Linked DNA regions of Nothobranchius furzeri. The protein of the gene in region 3 interacts with the protein of the main gene of each other region in a biochemical or structural test. Links are inferred from orthologs where the notes say so. Each region holds a gene or a part of one and is shown on either strand. Other genes may lie near its edges.

Region 1 (3,566 bases), on a different chromosome or scaffold from region 3:
GTGCAGGGGAAAAAGGCAGGCAGGAACATTCAGAAAAGGCTTTAATGAGGAGCAAGCGAGACACTGAAACAGTGAACAGACGAAGAACATAGAACTGGGAGGGATCAGATACAGGAAGAACTGGGAGACGAAAGGCAGGTGGGAGCAATTAGTAAAGACTCAGGACTGAACAGAGACTGGAGACAGGACAGATTGTGACATAGCAGACACATGAGGAGCCACTATTAAAGGGATAAACCTATCCCTGATATAGGAGCTTCTCAGCTCATAGCAGCCTGAGTGGGGAGGTGGGTATGGCTAGCTCCAGCTCGTTTTCTTAAAGTGACAGAGCCCTGAAACGGATCATTCTGGAAGGTACTGAAACTGTCAAGAATAAAACTGCTGGTGTTGCTCGATGTGACAGGGATTTAGTGCAAGACTGTCATAAACATGTTTTGTATCAACCATCCGTTTTCGGCCACTTATCTGGGGTCGGGTCACGGGGGCCAGTAGCCTAAGAAGGGAGGCCCAGACTTCCCTCTCCCCAGCCACTTGGGCCAGCTCCTCCTGGGGAATCCCTGGCCAGCCATGAGACACAGTCCCTCCAGCGTGTCCTGGGTCTACCTTTAGGTCTCCTCCCGGTTAGACGTGCCCAGAAAACCTCACCAAAGTCAAGGAGGCCTCCTGACCAGATGCCCGAGCCACCTCAAATTATTATAACTTCATAAAAAAACATAATTAAATGTCCCCTTTAAGATTTTCAGCTAATGTTTCTAAAATTGGATCCCCTCTCAGAGGCAGATTCTAAAACATGGAGGCAAAAGGCCACTCATCCTGGTTCTGGTTGCGCTGAAGGTCCAGTCTTGAACTTTCGCCACGTGCTTGCTCAAGATGTTGGGTTGGGTTGGAGGGAAGTTGGGTTCAATCTGCTGCTGTTGTTTATTAAATCAGGGGTGAACTAAGCTGGTCTGAACTGGATAACAGAGTCCAGGTCAGTCTGTGGTGGGACCAGGAGGACCTCCATGTTACCAGAGTCTCTGACTTGTGAACATGCAGGTGACACCACCAGACCAACCAGTCTTCACTTACTGGTGCACTGCCAGGATCTCCCAGTCCACGGCTGCCTCCAGAGGTTGGCTGAGATGCTCCAGCGTTCTGGGACATATTTCAATCAGCTTACACAGCAGCAACCAGCCCTCCTGTCCAAACAAAAACCTCACGTTTGATTTGAACAATAACAATCAAACTGACACGTAATGAGAGCAGAATCAGATGAAACACATTCTAGAGGCATGTTGAGAGCAGTCATTCCTGTCTGAACACATATTCCATCCCATAATGTGGCTTTCAGTTTTAACATGCTGTAAACTTCTCATAAGCCAGAACGCATTACAGTCACAAGACGTCATAAACACGGTGGATCGGGTGGACGGGCCACTGGCGGTTACTTTTTAACCACATTAAGCACGAACAACCTCCTCCTGTAAGGGGGGGGGGGGGCAGATTACCTGCTGGACTCCTTTGCTGCTGATGTAAGATGACAGCACCGTCACGAGGGGAAGGTGAACGTTCTTGTCCTCAAACAGCTCAGCTGCTGCAACAAAGATCAGCAAAAGAGACAACATGTGATAAACCGGAGCACCTATTTTTGTTTTAAATGGCCATGAAAACACACGTGAATAGAACACCTAAGAACACGTGAATAGAACTCATGAAAAGAACACGTGAATAGAACATGTAAGAACACGTGAATAGAACACGTAAGAACACGTAAATAGAACACGGGAATAGAACACGTGAATAGAACACGTGAATAGAACACGTAAGAACACGTGAATAGAACATGTAAGAACACGTGAATGGAACACGTAAGTACACGTGAATAGAACACGGGAATAGAACACGTGAATAGAACACATAAGAACACGTGAATATAACATGTGAATAGAAAACGTAAGAACACGTGAATAGAACATGTAAGAACATGTGAATAGAACACATAAGAACACGTGAATATAACATGTGAATAGAACACGTAAGAACAGGTGAATGGAACACGTAAGAACACGTGAATAGAACACATAAGAACACGTGAATAGAACACGTAAGAACACGTGAATAGAACACGTGAGTAGAACACGTAAGAACATGTGAATAGAACACGTAAGAACACGTGAATAGAACACGGGAATAGAACACGTGAATAGAACACGTAAGAACACGTGAATAGAACACGTGAATAGAACACGTGAATAGAACACGTAAGAACACGTAAATAGAACACGTAAGAACACGTGAATAGAACACGGGAATAGAACACGTGAATAGAACACGTAAGAACACGTGAATAGAACACGTAAGAACACGTGAATAGAACACATAAGAACACATGAATAGAAAACGTGAATAGAACACGTAAGAACAAGTGAATAGATAAATAGAACACGTAAGAACACGTGAATAGAACACGTAAGAACACATGAATAGAACAAGTGAATAGACCATGTAAGAACACGTGAATAGAACATGTAAGAACATGTAAGAAAACGTAAGAACACGTGAATAGAACACGTGAATAGAACACGTAAGAACATGTAAGAACACGTGAATAGAACATGTGAATAGAACACGTAAGAACACATGAATAGAACACGTAAGAACATGTAAGAACACGTGAATAGAACACGTAAGAACACGTGAATAGAACATGGGAATAGGACACGTGAATAGAACACATAAGAACACGTGAATAGAACATGTGAATAGAACACGTAAGAACACGTGAATAGAACACGTAAGAACACGTGAATAGAACACGTAAGAACACGTGAATAGAACACGTAAGAACACGTGAATAGAACACGTGAGTAGAACACGTAAGAACACGTGAATAGAACACGTAAGAACACCTGAATAGAACACGGGAATAGAACACGTGAATAGAACACGTAAGAACATGTGAATAGAACACGTAAGAACACGTGAATAGAACACGGGAATAGAACACGTGAATAGAACACGTGAATAGAACACGTAAGAACACGTGAATAGAACACATAAGAACACGTGAATAGAACACGTGAATAGAACACATAAGAACACATGAATAGAACACGTGAATAGAACACGTAAGAACACGTGAATAGATGAATAGAACACGTAAGAACACGTGAATAGAACACGTAAGAACACATGAATAGAACAAGTGAATAGAACATGTAAGAACACGTGAATAGAACACGTAAGAACATGTAAGAAAATGTAAGAACACGTGCATAGAACACGTGAATAGAACACGTAAGAACATGTAAGAACACATGAATAGAACACGTGAATAGAACACGTAAGAACACGTGAATAGAACACGTAAGAACATGTAAGAACACGTGAATAGAACACGTAAGAACACGTGAATAGAACATGTGAATAGAACACATAAGAATATGTGAATAGAACACATAAGAACACATGAATAGAACAAGTGAATAGAACATGTAAGAACACGTGAATAGAACACGTAAGAACATGTAAGAAAACGTAAGAACACGTGAATAGAACACGTAAGAACATGTAAGAACACGTGAATA
Region 2 (4,035 bases), on a different chromosome or scaffold from region 3:
TCACTGTCACATCGATCTGATTCATCCATGGGAGTGAAGTAATTCCACATGAAGACACAGCTTGGATAGAAAATGCACCAGAAGTTGTTTACTACTGTTGCTGCCTCTGTAGGACATGTGGAAGCAGGATGTTATGCTGCGTTTATTCTGATGCTTTAGGCTGAACCTGGTTAGGACGTGATGACGCTCACAACGCTGCATGTGCAGACGAGTCGGGGTTCACCTGATTATCAACGTCAGACTTTTGTTTCTGCAAATGATGGTGTTGTGACAATGCTTTTGCTGAAATTTTCCTTTTTGCTCACACATTTAAGATCAGCAACCAAATTTACAACCGAACTCAAACCTTGGACTAAAAGATTCTCACATCACTGGGGAGGAATTTTAACTAATTCGTCTTGTTGGACTTGTTTTAATTTAATAGTTTTGACAAAAGTGAGATGGGCATTTGTCTTCTTTTTTGGTCAGCAGAGGTCCTTGAACTCTTACGTGGAGGCAATTTTTGCTCCTGCAAGCTTGAATCATAGATTGTTCTGGATTTGTTAGATGTGTTGCTTTTGAGATTGTTCAGCTCTTCATTCTACATGTCTGACAGTAATAAGGCCTAGCTTTGGCTGACTGGTGGAACCAAGCTCATGCTTCCAATTAATCTGATTATTCCCAGTTAAGTCATAATTTAACAAGAGGAGCAATGACTTTTTCACTGGGTCAGGTTAATTTGGGGCTTTTTTTCTTTTATAAAATGAATAATTTTAAACTACATACTGTATTTACTCGAGTTGCCTTTGTCTAATTAAAGTGTTGGGTGACAAAAAAAGCAAAAACAAGAAATCTGTAAGAAGCCAAACACTTTAAATCATGCATGTCATTACCGTGTGCAGCCGTGTTATTCTACTTTTGATTTTACATTTTATAGACTCAACAATATAAAGTTTCTATATCAGGAGGCTATAATGATGTATTATTATTATTAATAACATAATTCGGTCAGCATACTTCCATCTACGTTCCATAAACCGTCTTCGTCCCTCACTGACCCCTCACACTGCCGCCATTCTCGTCCACAGCCTAGTCACCTCCCGTATCGACTATTGCAATTCACTCCTTTATGGTCTTCCCAACAAACTCCTTCATAAACTGCAACTCGTCCAGAATTCAGCAGCCCGTATTATCACCAGAATCCCTTCCTTTCACCACATCACGCCGGTTCTCCAGCAGCTTCACTGGCTCCCAGTTAAATTCAGGTCCATCTTCAAAATTCTCCTCCATACCTTCAAAGCAATCCACAACCTCTCTCCTCCATATATCTCAGACCTTATAAGTATTCACACCCCGTCCCGTTCACTCAGATCTTCTTCTTCCATCCATCTTGCGGTTCCTTCTGCCCGTCTCACTACTATGGGGAGCAGAGCTTTCAGCCGCTCTGCTCCTCGACTCTGGAACTCACTTCCCCCAGACATCAGGAACGTCGACAGTTTTACCCTTTTCAAAACAAAACTCAAAACACACATGTTTAAATCTGCCTACAACCTCTGATTTTATTGAAATGTTTCTCTCTGTTTTTTTCTTCTTTGGGTTTTATTATTGTTTTATTGTATTTTATTGCGTGTTTTGTGTAAAGTGACCTTGGGTGTCCTGAAAGGCGCTTTTAAATAAAATGTATTATTATTATTATTATTATTATTATTATTATTATTATTATTATTATTATTATTATTATTATTATTATGCTGCAAAGCTAATTGATTTTGTTAAGTCATCAGGATAAACAGCTGAAAGCAGCAAAAACAAACCAACAACTACCTCTGCAGCAGCAGAAATCTGCTCTGTTGTGTTCAGAAGGCATGAAAACGTGATCAAACTTGACGACATAAAAGATCCTTTACAACAGCATCAGTGAGACTTGCATGCATCATTGTTCAGCACCATGCCCTTGCTTTGGGTTGGACTCAACAGGGCGTGGGCCTCTCTCAGAGAATGCGCAAACGCTGGCTGTCTGCAAAATTACATCTTGATCATTTTGATAATTCGTATCTTTATTTCATTCATAATTTTCACAAAATGCTTTTTATTTGTTAAAAAATAATTCTTACAGGCGCCCATCATCACCATCAGGCCTAAAATATTCATCAATAACTACCTACAGGCTGGATTAGGCATGTTTTTGGGGGTGTTTATTTATTTTTTGGCAATAATCCGGTTAAATATGAGTAACAATGTCGCCCCTTTGCCTTATTTTCACCCATCGCCTCCTCCGCCATCACCATTTCTCTCCTCCTGCCCTCTATCATAAGCTCTTACCTGCATCCGGGTGGGGAGAGGGAGTGAAAAGTGGATAGAGAAAACATCTCAGCCCTGTCCGCCATCTTCTACTACGAATGACTCAGAGAGACTGCAGAAAATCACGGAAGGAAGCGCAGTCCATGAACAATCACAGGCCAGAGGACGGACGCGGTCCTGGACTGCGGTGTGGTCGCGCGCTCTGCGTCCCCGCGGATGATGCCCGCCTGGCCGGAAGCCTTGGATCAGACGAGCCTGCTCAACACCATCAAATCTGACTGCAGTGAACCCATCCGGGAGGGAAATGTGCTTCAGAGGCAGCGAGAGACGTTCGCGGAGATCCCCGTGTTCCCTGATCGATGCATCTAGCGCTAAGTCCTCGCGTTTTTTATTTTCTTCGACCGCAGTCCGTGATTTGCTCGGCAAACGTCTGCTGCCGTGATGCTGCTTGTGACACAACAGCAACGGGCCAGCAGTGCAGAGACAGGCAGCGGAGCGAGGAGGAGAAAGGAGGGGGTGAGAGAGAGGAGGAGGAGGAGCGGGAGACGTCAGCCTCGTTTCCAAGAGGAGGCTGAAGGGGCGCACATACGTTATAAATTATGCTCGGATACAAAAAGTAAATAAACAGAAAACACAAACACTACGTTTGATCTTCAGGTGGTTTTAATCATCAATGATAATTATTATTATTTAAAACTAATAATATAATTTATGTAAAAGACAAGAATTGAACCACTTTAAAACATGGCTCTCCTCAAAATATCAATAAATTGTTTGTTATTATTAATCTGGAACACTTTATCAATAATTGCTTATTAAAGGACAAGAAAAAGAGACAACTGACCAGCTTTGTGTGAGCCAAATCTGTTCTCTCTTCTTCACCCTTAATTGATGCAGAATAATAATTATTTATTATTTATTACAGTAAAATAGATTGATTAATAACATATCTATAAGCATGTGTAAGGGAGCCGTATGAACAGTCTTACCTTAAGCATGGTCATGATATTATATCACCAAATCTCAATCAATGTCACTGTCATTACGCTTTATTTAGTTTGTTTAAACTTGTTTAACTACTTTAACTAACTGGAGGAACACCATTTAAAATATGATGTATAAAACAAACAGAATGGTAAAAAGGGAATTCTGCTGTAAAAATATAAATTCTTTATTAGACTATAGATCTTCCATAACATGGGTCCATTCACTTAAAAAGTTTAAAAAACATGTGATTACTTTAGCGTATAAATAACTTGGAATAAAACACTTGACTCTGAATAGATAATATAGACAAATCATACTTTTTTAACCAACAGTGATCAAAGGCTACAGTGACATTTATCCTAAAAAATTTTTTAGTGAGGACCGATGGTGAGGACGTGTCGGAGATCATTGCTCAGGGAGCTGTTCACGGCCGGTGGTGCTGAAATCTGAGCTGCTGTAAAGGTTTCTGCCACACGGGGGCAGTAACTGCTCAGTTAACATAACTAATCTTTTCATTTGTATTTAATGGATGATTTTTCATGCTCAGAAATAGCACTTTTTTTAACTAAATGACATAATCTTATAGTTTATTTTTGGTGTTTTGTTTCTGCATTTTTTATATGTGTGTTCATTTGCCATTGTTGTGGCTGCTGTGCACTCACTCTAGCAGGAAAAACCAAAAACAAATGTTCGTCATTTTTCTTTGTGTCCACTTAATTACTAGCCCCCATGAGCTTTTGTGTGAAGTATGCAACCAGCTCCTGGTCC
Region 3 (4,226 bases):
CTTCACCCTTGTCACCATGCCTTTTGTGAACACAAGTCATTTTTGAGTACAATTTATTTTTGGTTTTAGGTGCCTACCTCCATTTGACTATAGCATTTGTATTAATAGGTTACAAAGTTAATTAAAAGTTGTTTGATAAGTTATCATCTTGTCTTTATCATTAGATGCCACACAGCTGATCACACTTCAAACTAGAAGCTAACAATGGGTATATTAAGAGCATCCTGGTGCAAAAACCTAAACTTTAATGCATGACACGATCAGTCGACTATAAAAGAGTTGTTTGTGACAGCCCTATAGTTCAGTGAACTTCAAATCTTTCTTTCAGGAGGAAAGAAATTCACCAGAAATCTGACCATGGGGTAAGTAACGGCTATGCTGGGGCAGAGGAGATCCTGTGATGATGTCATCTATGTGACGTGCCAACATATTTTTTGTAATCATAATAATCACAAACTTTTACAAGCTGGTTGAAACACCTATAGTGTTCATTTAAATTGAAGTGCAACATGTGTGTGATCCAGGGCGTAAGGCAAAGCGGATTAGAAAATAGTTCTTTTACCTCTGTTCATTTGCATTCATTTTTTCATTCTTCAAGGGACCCATGAGCTAACCGGACAAGGAGGAGACTTATGGGCCATTCCCATCTGTACCGGGTCGGCCCAGGCAGCGTAGGTTGTTTACATATCTGGGTGGCCTGGTATTTTCCCGGGCAAACCAAGGCTCATTCTCAGCCCTCTTCTCGAGGGGTCTGATTCAGGCCGACCAGGGCCAACACACCCACTGCTGACAGCAAATTCACACCTTCCATTAGAGCAAGCCTCTGATTGGTGGGTAGAATCAGCCCACATGGGCTTAAGGCAAGGATGTGTGGAATCAACCGGGCCAGGCTGGGGCCGACTGGGACTACCCGGTACAGATGGGAATGGCCCATTAGGCTCCCTATTACATCCATTTTGATCTCTTTGCTATAAAAATGTTAGAAAGAAAAAACATTCTTTTAAAAACAGCATCTTGAGATAAAAATCGTGAGGCGCTTCACAAACAAACAAAACAATAAATAAAAAACCAAACAAAGTATAAAAAAGATTAAAAAAAAGATTTAAATATTCTCACTTTTAGAGCTCGATGAAGTCAAGTTGCATTTGATGTCTGACCTTTTAGTTCTCCACACCAAATATTCAGTTACAAGCTTATTTGCTCAACACCAGCTGGTAAACCAAGAGGAGATTTTTTTAAAGTCAGAGGTCTCAGGATGTGAAACATGTTACTGCCCTGTCTGAGACAGCTGCGGCTCGGCTGGTAGAGCGGTCAACTTCCAATCTGAGAGCTGGTAGTATAATTACAGTTTCTCCACAAGACAAAGTGTCCTTGGGCAAAATAATGAACTCTGTTGTGTCTTATGGAAATATTATGATTAAACAAAGGTCAATCTTTATCTCATTTAAATGATTATTCTGCATAATTGTGAGCAGTATCATGGCTCCAACAAATCTGAGTTATTTGGACCTGATGCATTTCTCATCTGTAAATTTTTGAAGCATCTGTGACAGTCAAATGACCTTCATCAGCACTTGTTAGCTGGATCAAACGACCACTGTTCTCTCAACAAAAGAAAACTATTAGAAAAGGTAGGTATAATGGCTCAAAACAATGCTATTCAGTAATAATGAAAGATTTTTAAGCTATCACTCAATAGCAAACTTACAGCAGTCAATATGGAGCTTTTTGTTATTTACTACAGCAATGAGGGTCTCGTTGTTACATGTCACGAAGCTGTAGCAAGCGTAGCATTTCTGTAGAGATTTTCCCTCTATGGCCCATAATTACAGCATCTCCTGTCAAGTCAAGTTCGTATGCCTTTCTGACACATTTACACTAACAAATCTTAACCAAACAGATGCAGTAAAGCTACGAGAAAGACCTAACATTTAATCATAACAGGTTAATTACAAGACAACCTCAAAAAGAGCAACATAACTATTAAAACGTTTGACCAAACTCACAAATTTCTAAAAAACAGACAACCTGTTCAGAATTTCTGTTTGATTGTTGCTTTAACATCCGCTCCAACCACAACCAGTGTTGGTTAAGGATAAAAGTAACCAGTTTAAATTACCCTTAAGCGCGAGACATTAAAAATAGCATAAGTGACCTGACTTATTATGCCCAAAAGTCACATCCAAACACACCACTCACATTTAGAACAAACATTCCTTTAAAATTACATTATTGAAACGACCGTAAATTTATATCAAAAATGAATAAAACAGTCATTTTTCTAACGGACGCCAGGCCTGCTACAAACTATCACAAAACGTACAGCTTGTTAGCTTAGCATGTTTGACAGGACTGAAATGAACATATTTCGAAATGACATAGTCACCGACAACTAGTATAACATTGCATCCGGGTTTGAACTCTGCTCAACATTTCTCCCCACATGAGCTGTTCCACTTATTAAGTTGGATTTTTGGTAGTATAACCGAGGTCAGCCGATGTTTGTTTACGTAGCTAGCCAGTTAGCATGCATCTGGTAGCCCACCCCTTCTCAGACCTTTCCTGCTATTCTAGCCGTTACCAACACACCGGTCCGCCCCGATGGACACTCACTTGGCCTTGGACGTGATCGCTGCGGGCTCATGTCGATGTTAAGGTCGATTCTCCGGCGAGCTTCTTCATTTTCCTGCTTTAGTCTCTCTTCGATTCGCGACAGCCTCTGTTCCAACGACGACATCTTGAAAAATTGAGCACCGTATAGTTTCCAGCAGAGCTCGCGACGCCTCTCAGTGGCAGGCAGGCGCAGGCGCAGACTCGCAACCACAGCCTCCTCCCACGCGCGTCATTTGGAACCGTAGTATGTCCAGGAAGGTCCCACCTTTCTCCCTTTCTCGCGTCTGATTGGCTGAAAGGGCTCTCTATTTCAGAGGAAACCTCGCTGCAGGTTTATTTATTTATTTATTTATTTATTTATTTATTTATTTATTTATTTTTACTTTATTGAAAGATATAGCATGTACAACACGAGTAAGGAAACGTACTAAATTTAACAAAGGTTTACATTAATAAGATGGTGAAGCAAAACCGATTGCTTTTAAACAAAAAACTAAATAAAAAACCAGGAGCCAAAAACAAACAAACAAAAAAAAAAAGCTTTGACAAACAACGGATCTTCTCGTTTTTTTTTAACTGTTTTGTCCGGGAGTCGAAGTGCGTAGGTTCGATTCCCGCTCAGTGCGAATATAAAAGTATTAATGTATGCGAAATCTGATAAAACTAATTATTATGTAAATAATTTTTCACTATTACCACTTTAAATTTAATTATAATTGTGATGAAGAACCACTGAGCTGTGAAATATATTTGTGATAATAGACACGTAAAATTATAGAATATATATGAAAAAATGCATCTGTGTTGAAATATATTTGTGATGTTATAAAACACATGTAATAAATGTATCTGTGTCCAGGATCATAAAAACATTCAAAGATTTAAAGTGTTTTCGTTTATATATATATATATATATATATATATATATATATATATATATATATATATATATATATATATATATATAATAAAAGAAAAAGTCTCAAAAAGTCTTTAAAAAGAAAAATCCAAAAAAGTGAAGACAGTTTTTCTGTCTTGCTCCCTCAGCTCCTCAACACATCCAATCTCCCTCTAATGTTATTCTTCATCTCCTCCCTCCACTCCTCTACAGACTTTCCGCCAACAGATGCCCAGTAGGACACGCCTGCAATGTGTGGCCAGTGTCCAGCCGCTTGGGCTGACCACATCTGCTGCAGGTGTACTGCAGGCGGGCTGTCTTTGATGGTGGAGCCTGCACGCTAGCAGCAGCTGCAGCAGTAACCTCCGCTACCTTCCTCTATGAATGAAATCGACCTAGGCATGGACATTCTCTTAATTATCTTTGGAGCTCATGACTTCAAATAAAAGTGTTTAAATTCTTGCAATGAGCTTTTATTGTGAAGTTCCTTTCTTTACATGTCCATGTGTACAGCAGGTTGTTGTTTAACACATTTAGATTGTTGGTATTCTTGTTGGATCATTTATTAACTGAAGAAAAGAGCTTGGTCCCTCAGCTCCTCAATGCATCCAATCTCCCGTCCTATTCAGGCGTAGAAAGCACATCTTTGGAGGAGTTTACAGGGAAGCAGAAGCTTGGGTGAGGAAATTAATAAACCACTGAAGACGAAGAAGGT
Region 4 (3,458 bases), on a different chromosome or scaffold from region 3:
TAAAGGATTCATTATTTCTGACTCTGTTTGCTTCTCATCAGTTTTGTTTTGAAGAAGAAATGACTCCAGGTCCTTTAATCTGAACTCTGAGGAACTCTTCCGGCTCATTCTGCAGATGACTACACTTCCCATGATGCACCGGGATAAACTCTTGCATAAGCACTTCCTGTGCCTGAGGCTGCTGGCTGTAAGTCTGACAGTATCCCAGCACCCTTTCAGAACCGAACTTAGTTCACACACACACGCACGCACGCACACACACACACGCACGCACGCACGCACACACACACGCACGCACGCACGCACACACACGCACGCACGCACACACACACGCACGCACGCACACACACGCACGCACGCACACACACACGCACGCACACACACGCACGCACACACACGCACGCACACACACACGCACGCACGCACACACACACGCACGCACGCACACACACACACGCACGCACGCACACACACACACGCACGAAACACTCGGGAAGTCATTTATCTTTCAACTGTTTATTTACATCAACACGCTGATTCATTCTTCCATCAGGTAAATAATCAGACATGACGTCACTGTAAAACAAAGTGTCCAGTTGTGTCCGAACAGGTGAGCGGAACACCTGCATCACTTGCAGCCCAGTCCGGAACGTCACGTGCAGCTCCTCGCTATCACTCATCGCATCAAAACGCCTCCATCTCTGTAACTCCGCCATCCAGCACGGTCCAGTTCGGTTCGGCTCTCGGAACCAGCAACGACACCTCACGCGCTCCTGACCGGATGGGTCGGTTTATGCATCCACGGCTCGGTCCCGCGCCTCTCAAACGCCGTTACGCCTCTTCTCACGAGGACTGGTCGTTTGCGTTAATTCAGCTCCATCCACCGCTCCTCGGCGGTTCTGCTCGGTTCGGCGCCAGTTAGCGGTCCTGCAGCTCCAGGCAGGGGACCCACTGGTTCTTACAGCGGCTCTCCTTGCAGAAGCTGCTGACGTCCTGCAGGGCCTGGCACTGCAGCGGGTGGACCGGGGGATTCTGCAGAACAAGGCGGACATTTGCTTTAGTTTCATGCAACACAGATTCATCTCCTGGTTCTGATCTAAGTCAGGTCCATTGATGCAGCAGCGCGAGCTCAGAACTTACAGTGACCAGGATGCAGTGCAGGTCCCGGGGCTCGCCCCCGTTGCCGTTCCCGTCCTCGGTGTCGTCGCCCAGCAGCTGGGCTAGCCGCCGGATCCCGGACACCCGCAGGATGTTGATGTCGTTGTCGCAGCAGAAAGCCTGAAGCAGCGTGAAGTGGATCTGCAGCGCGATGTCATCTTCATCCTCCTCATCTGTGGCTAGGAGGCAAAGGACCACGCTGTCCGGATCTCTGTAGGAGGAGAACAGAACCGGGTCAGAACCAGCACCGGCGCGCGTACAGGCACCAGTCGGTCACAGCTCCTACTTACACATTCATGAGTTTGGCGGACTCGTAGACTCCCACGGTGAGGCAGTCCTGCCGCTGCGCCGCCACCAGCAGCTCCTCCAGAGCCTGACTCACCGGCTCCATCCTGCAGAGACACAGAGGCGGTTAGACGGGACCGAAACCGGCACAGAACGCAACAGAACCGGCGCGAGCTCTAAACACTCTGATAATCTTGCATCATTTGCACTAAAATGTGAGCTTGTGCGTAATTACGCATCATCTGAAAGCAAATACTTACTTTTTCTCGGTGCTGCTAGACCCAACAACTTCCTCCAGAGTCATGTCGAAGTCAGTTAAATAATCCACAAGATCCAGGATAAAGGCAAATATCCACAGCGCTCAGCTGTTCCGGTAAGCTCCAGAGATGAAGTGCCAAGCAAGCGTTAATCCAGATCGGTACCAAGGTCCGGTAATAGGGACAGGTCCTGCTGCTGGTTTCCGTGTGTGAGAGAGAAGCGTTCTGCTTCTAAAAGATGAAACTCTCCGCTTTTATAGCCTCCCGTCAACGCGAGCAACTGCTCGAGCACTGATTGGCCCTCTGCTATCAAAAGACACTCGCTGATTGGCCGAGCACGCAGCAGAAACCGGCGATCCCACGTGGGTGGTTTCGGAGAATCCCCCGCACTTCTCCCCTCCCCTCTCTCTGTCAGTTTGTTTACTGGGAGGGTTTTTCTGTCTTGAGGAGGAATTTCCAGATCTTCCTCCTCATCCTCCTTGCTACTCCAGACCCCCCCCCCAAAAAAAAAGTCCCTTTTCACGACTCCTCCTCAATCTGAATCCATGCAGGCACGACTTTATGCAGAACCCGGATAAGAAGCGGGAGCAGGTGACCAGCCTTGTGTCGCAGCAGCACGCACCCTCCACCCCCACCATTGTACAACGCGCTGCAGGTTGTGCAACAGCGAGATTCTCCAGCACGAGAAGATCAGATGACCCATCGCTGGTCGTGCAGCTGGAGGTCCTGCTTTATGATATTCCAGGTCAAGACACAACACCTGTGCTACTATGATCAGGCAGCTGCAGCACACAGAGCAGACACTCTAAAATATAAATACAACTATTTTGTGCATAAAAAGCTCTGAATTATTTACTTCTGCACACCAACCCGCGCGACCATGCGGCGGTTAAAGAAGATGGATGGAATCACTTCTGCGCTGCAGATTCATGCCTCACATTCTGGCTTCCTGCAAAGCCCAAGGGCGCCCCTAGCGGCGCCCCTGCAGCAGTGAAACCAGAACACGTCTCCATTCGGTGTTCCGAACACCGGCCCCGTTGGGGGGGTCCCGGGGGGGTCCCGGGGGTTCTGTTGCATCCAGTTTCTGGATGCTCGTGATCAGGGAGGAAGAGGAAGAAATGAAACTGAAAACAAAAGTCTGATGATTCCTATGAATCCTAAAAGAAACCAGAGGGAATTTTTAATAATAAAAATAAAAAAACAGAGAACGAGTCAAGTTTTCACTGATGAACAGTTTCAGACAGAAAACATGAGCAGGATTTAGACACGAAGATCATATAAACGTAGCTTTACGATCTGTGAGAAACTGATGGATTTATCAAGACAAAACAACCAGAAGGCTGTTTTACGCTCAGGTCCATCGGCCGTGCTGTAGTTAGGGTTAGTGGTGGGTTAGTTTGTGAGAGGATGATGCGCAGAGGGCTCCATTCCTTATCAGCAAGATGTTGACATGTTTTTTCCTAGAGAAATAAATTTTAAAAATAATTATTTAAATAAAAAGCCTGAAATAAAATAAATTGTATTTTAAATACAAAATATTTAAAAGATGCCCGGGAAATGCATGATTCTGCTGTCTCCATGTGGTTATAGGTTAATACTTAATGAGTCATCATGATGCAGAAAACTCAGAGTTCATGAGGCAAAACAAGAAGTCACGTGATGAATCTGCACACTATTAAAACTGTATAGCAACAGTTTAATGACTACATTTAGATTTAGTTCTTAAATTAAATTATTGATTGTTTTAGAGTCATCACA

What was found.
Region 1: of the proteins of map2k7 (region 3) and lrrk2, one has a biochemical effect on the other in vitro, tested with the Homo sapiens proteins (2 studies listed by BioGRID). The link is inferred for Nothobranchius furzeri from reciprocal best matches to the Homo sapiens genes MAP2K7 and LRRK2.
Region 2: the proteins of map2k7 (region 3) and mapk8ip2 form a complex in vitro, tested with the Homo sapiens proteins (2 studies listed by BioGRID). The link is inferred for Nothobranchius furzeri from reciprocal best matches to the Homo sapiens genes MAP2K7 and MAPK8IP2.
Region 4: the proteins of map2k7 (region 3) and growth arrest and DNA damage-inducible protein GADD45 beta form a complex in vitro, tested with the Homo sapiens proteins (2 studies listed by BioGRID and IntAct). The link is inferred for Nothobranchius furzeri from reciprocal best matches to the Homo sapiens genes MAP2K7 and GADD45B.

What each region holds. Positions count from the first base shown.
Region 1 is NC_091744.1:48,425,631-48,429,196, reverse strand, and holds part of lrrk2 (leucine-rich repeat serine/threonine-protein kinase 2), read right to left. Parts: intron 1,574-3,566; coding exon 1,488-1,573; intron 1,179-1,487; coding exon 1,069-1,178; intron 1-1,068. UniProt on the Homo sapiens protein: Serine/threonine-protein kinase which phosphorylates a broad range of proteins involved in multiple processes such as neuronal plasticity, innate immunity, autophagy, and vesicle trafficking.
Region 2 is NC_091744.1:72,543,379-72,547,413, forward strand, and holds the start of mapk8ip2 (C-Jun-amino-terminal kinase-interacting protein 2), read right to left. Parts: upstream 2,852-4,035; 5' UTR 2,367-2,851; coding exon 2,302-2,366; intron 1-2,301. UniProt on the Homo sapiens protein: The JNK-interacting protein (JIP) group of scaffold proteins selectively mediates JNK signaling by aggregating specific components of the MAPK cascade to form a functional JNK signaling module.
Region 3 is NC_091747.1:73,509,475-73,513,700, reverse strand, and holds the start of map2k7 (dual specificity mitogen-activated protein kinase kinase 7), read right to left. Parts: upstream 2,810-4,226; 5' UTR 2,738-2,809; coding exon 2,614-2,737; intron 1-2,613. UniProt on the Homo sapiens protein: Dual specificity protein kinase which acts as an essential component of the MAP kinase signal transduction pathway. Essential component of the stress-activated protein kinase/c-Jun N-terminal kinase (SAP/JNK) signaling pathway.
Region 4 is NC_091748.1:78,786,091-78,789,548, reverse strand, and holds growth arrest and DNA damage-inducible protein GADD45 beta, read right to left. Parts: upstream 1,934-3,458; 5' UTR 1,748-1,933; coding exon 1,704-1,747; intron 1,551-1,703; coding exon 1,449-1,550; intron 1,370-1,448; coding exon 1,141-1,369; intron 1,033-1,140; coding exon 919-1,032; 3' UTR 501-918; downstream 1-500.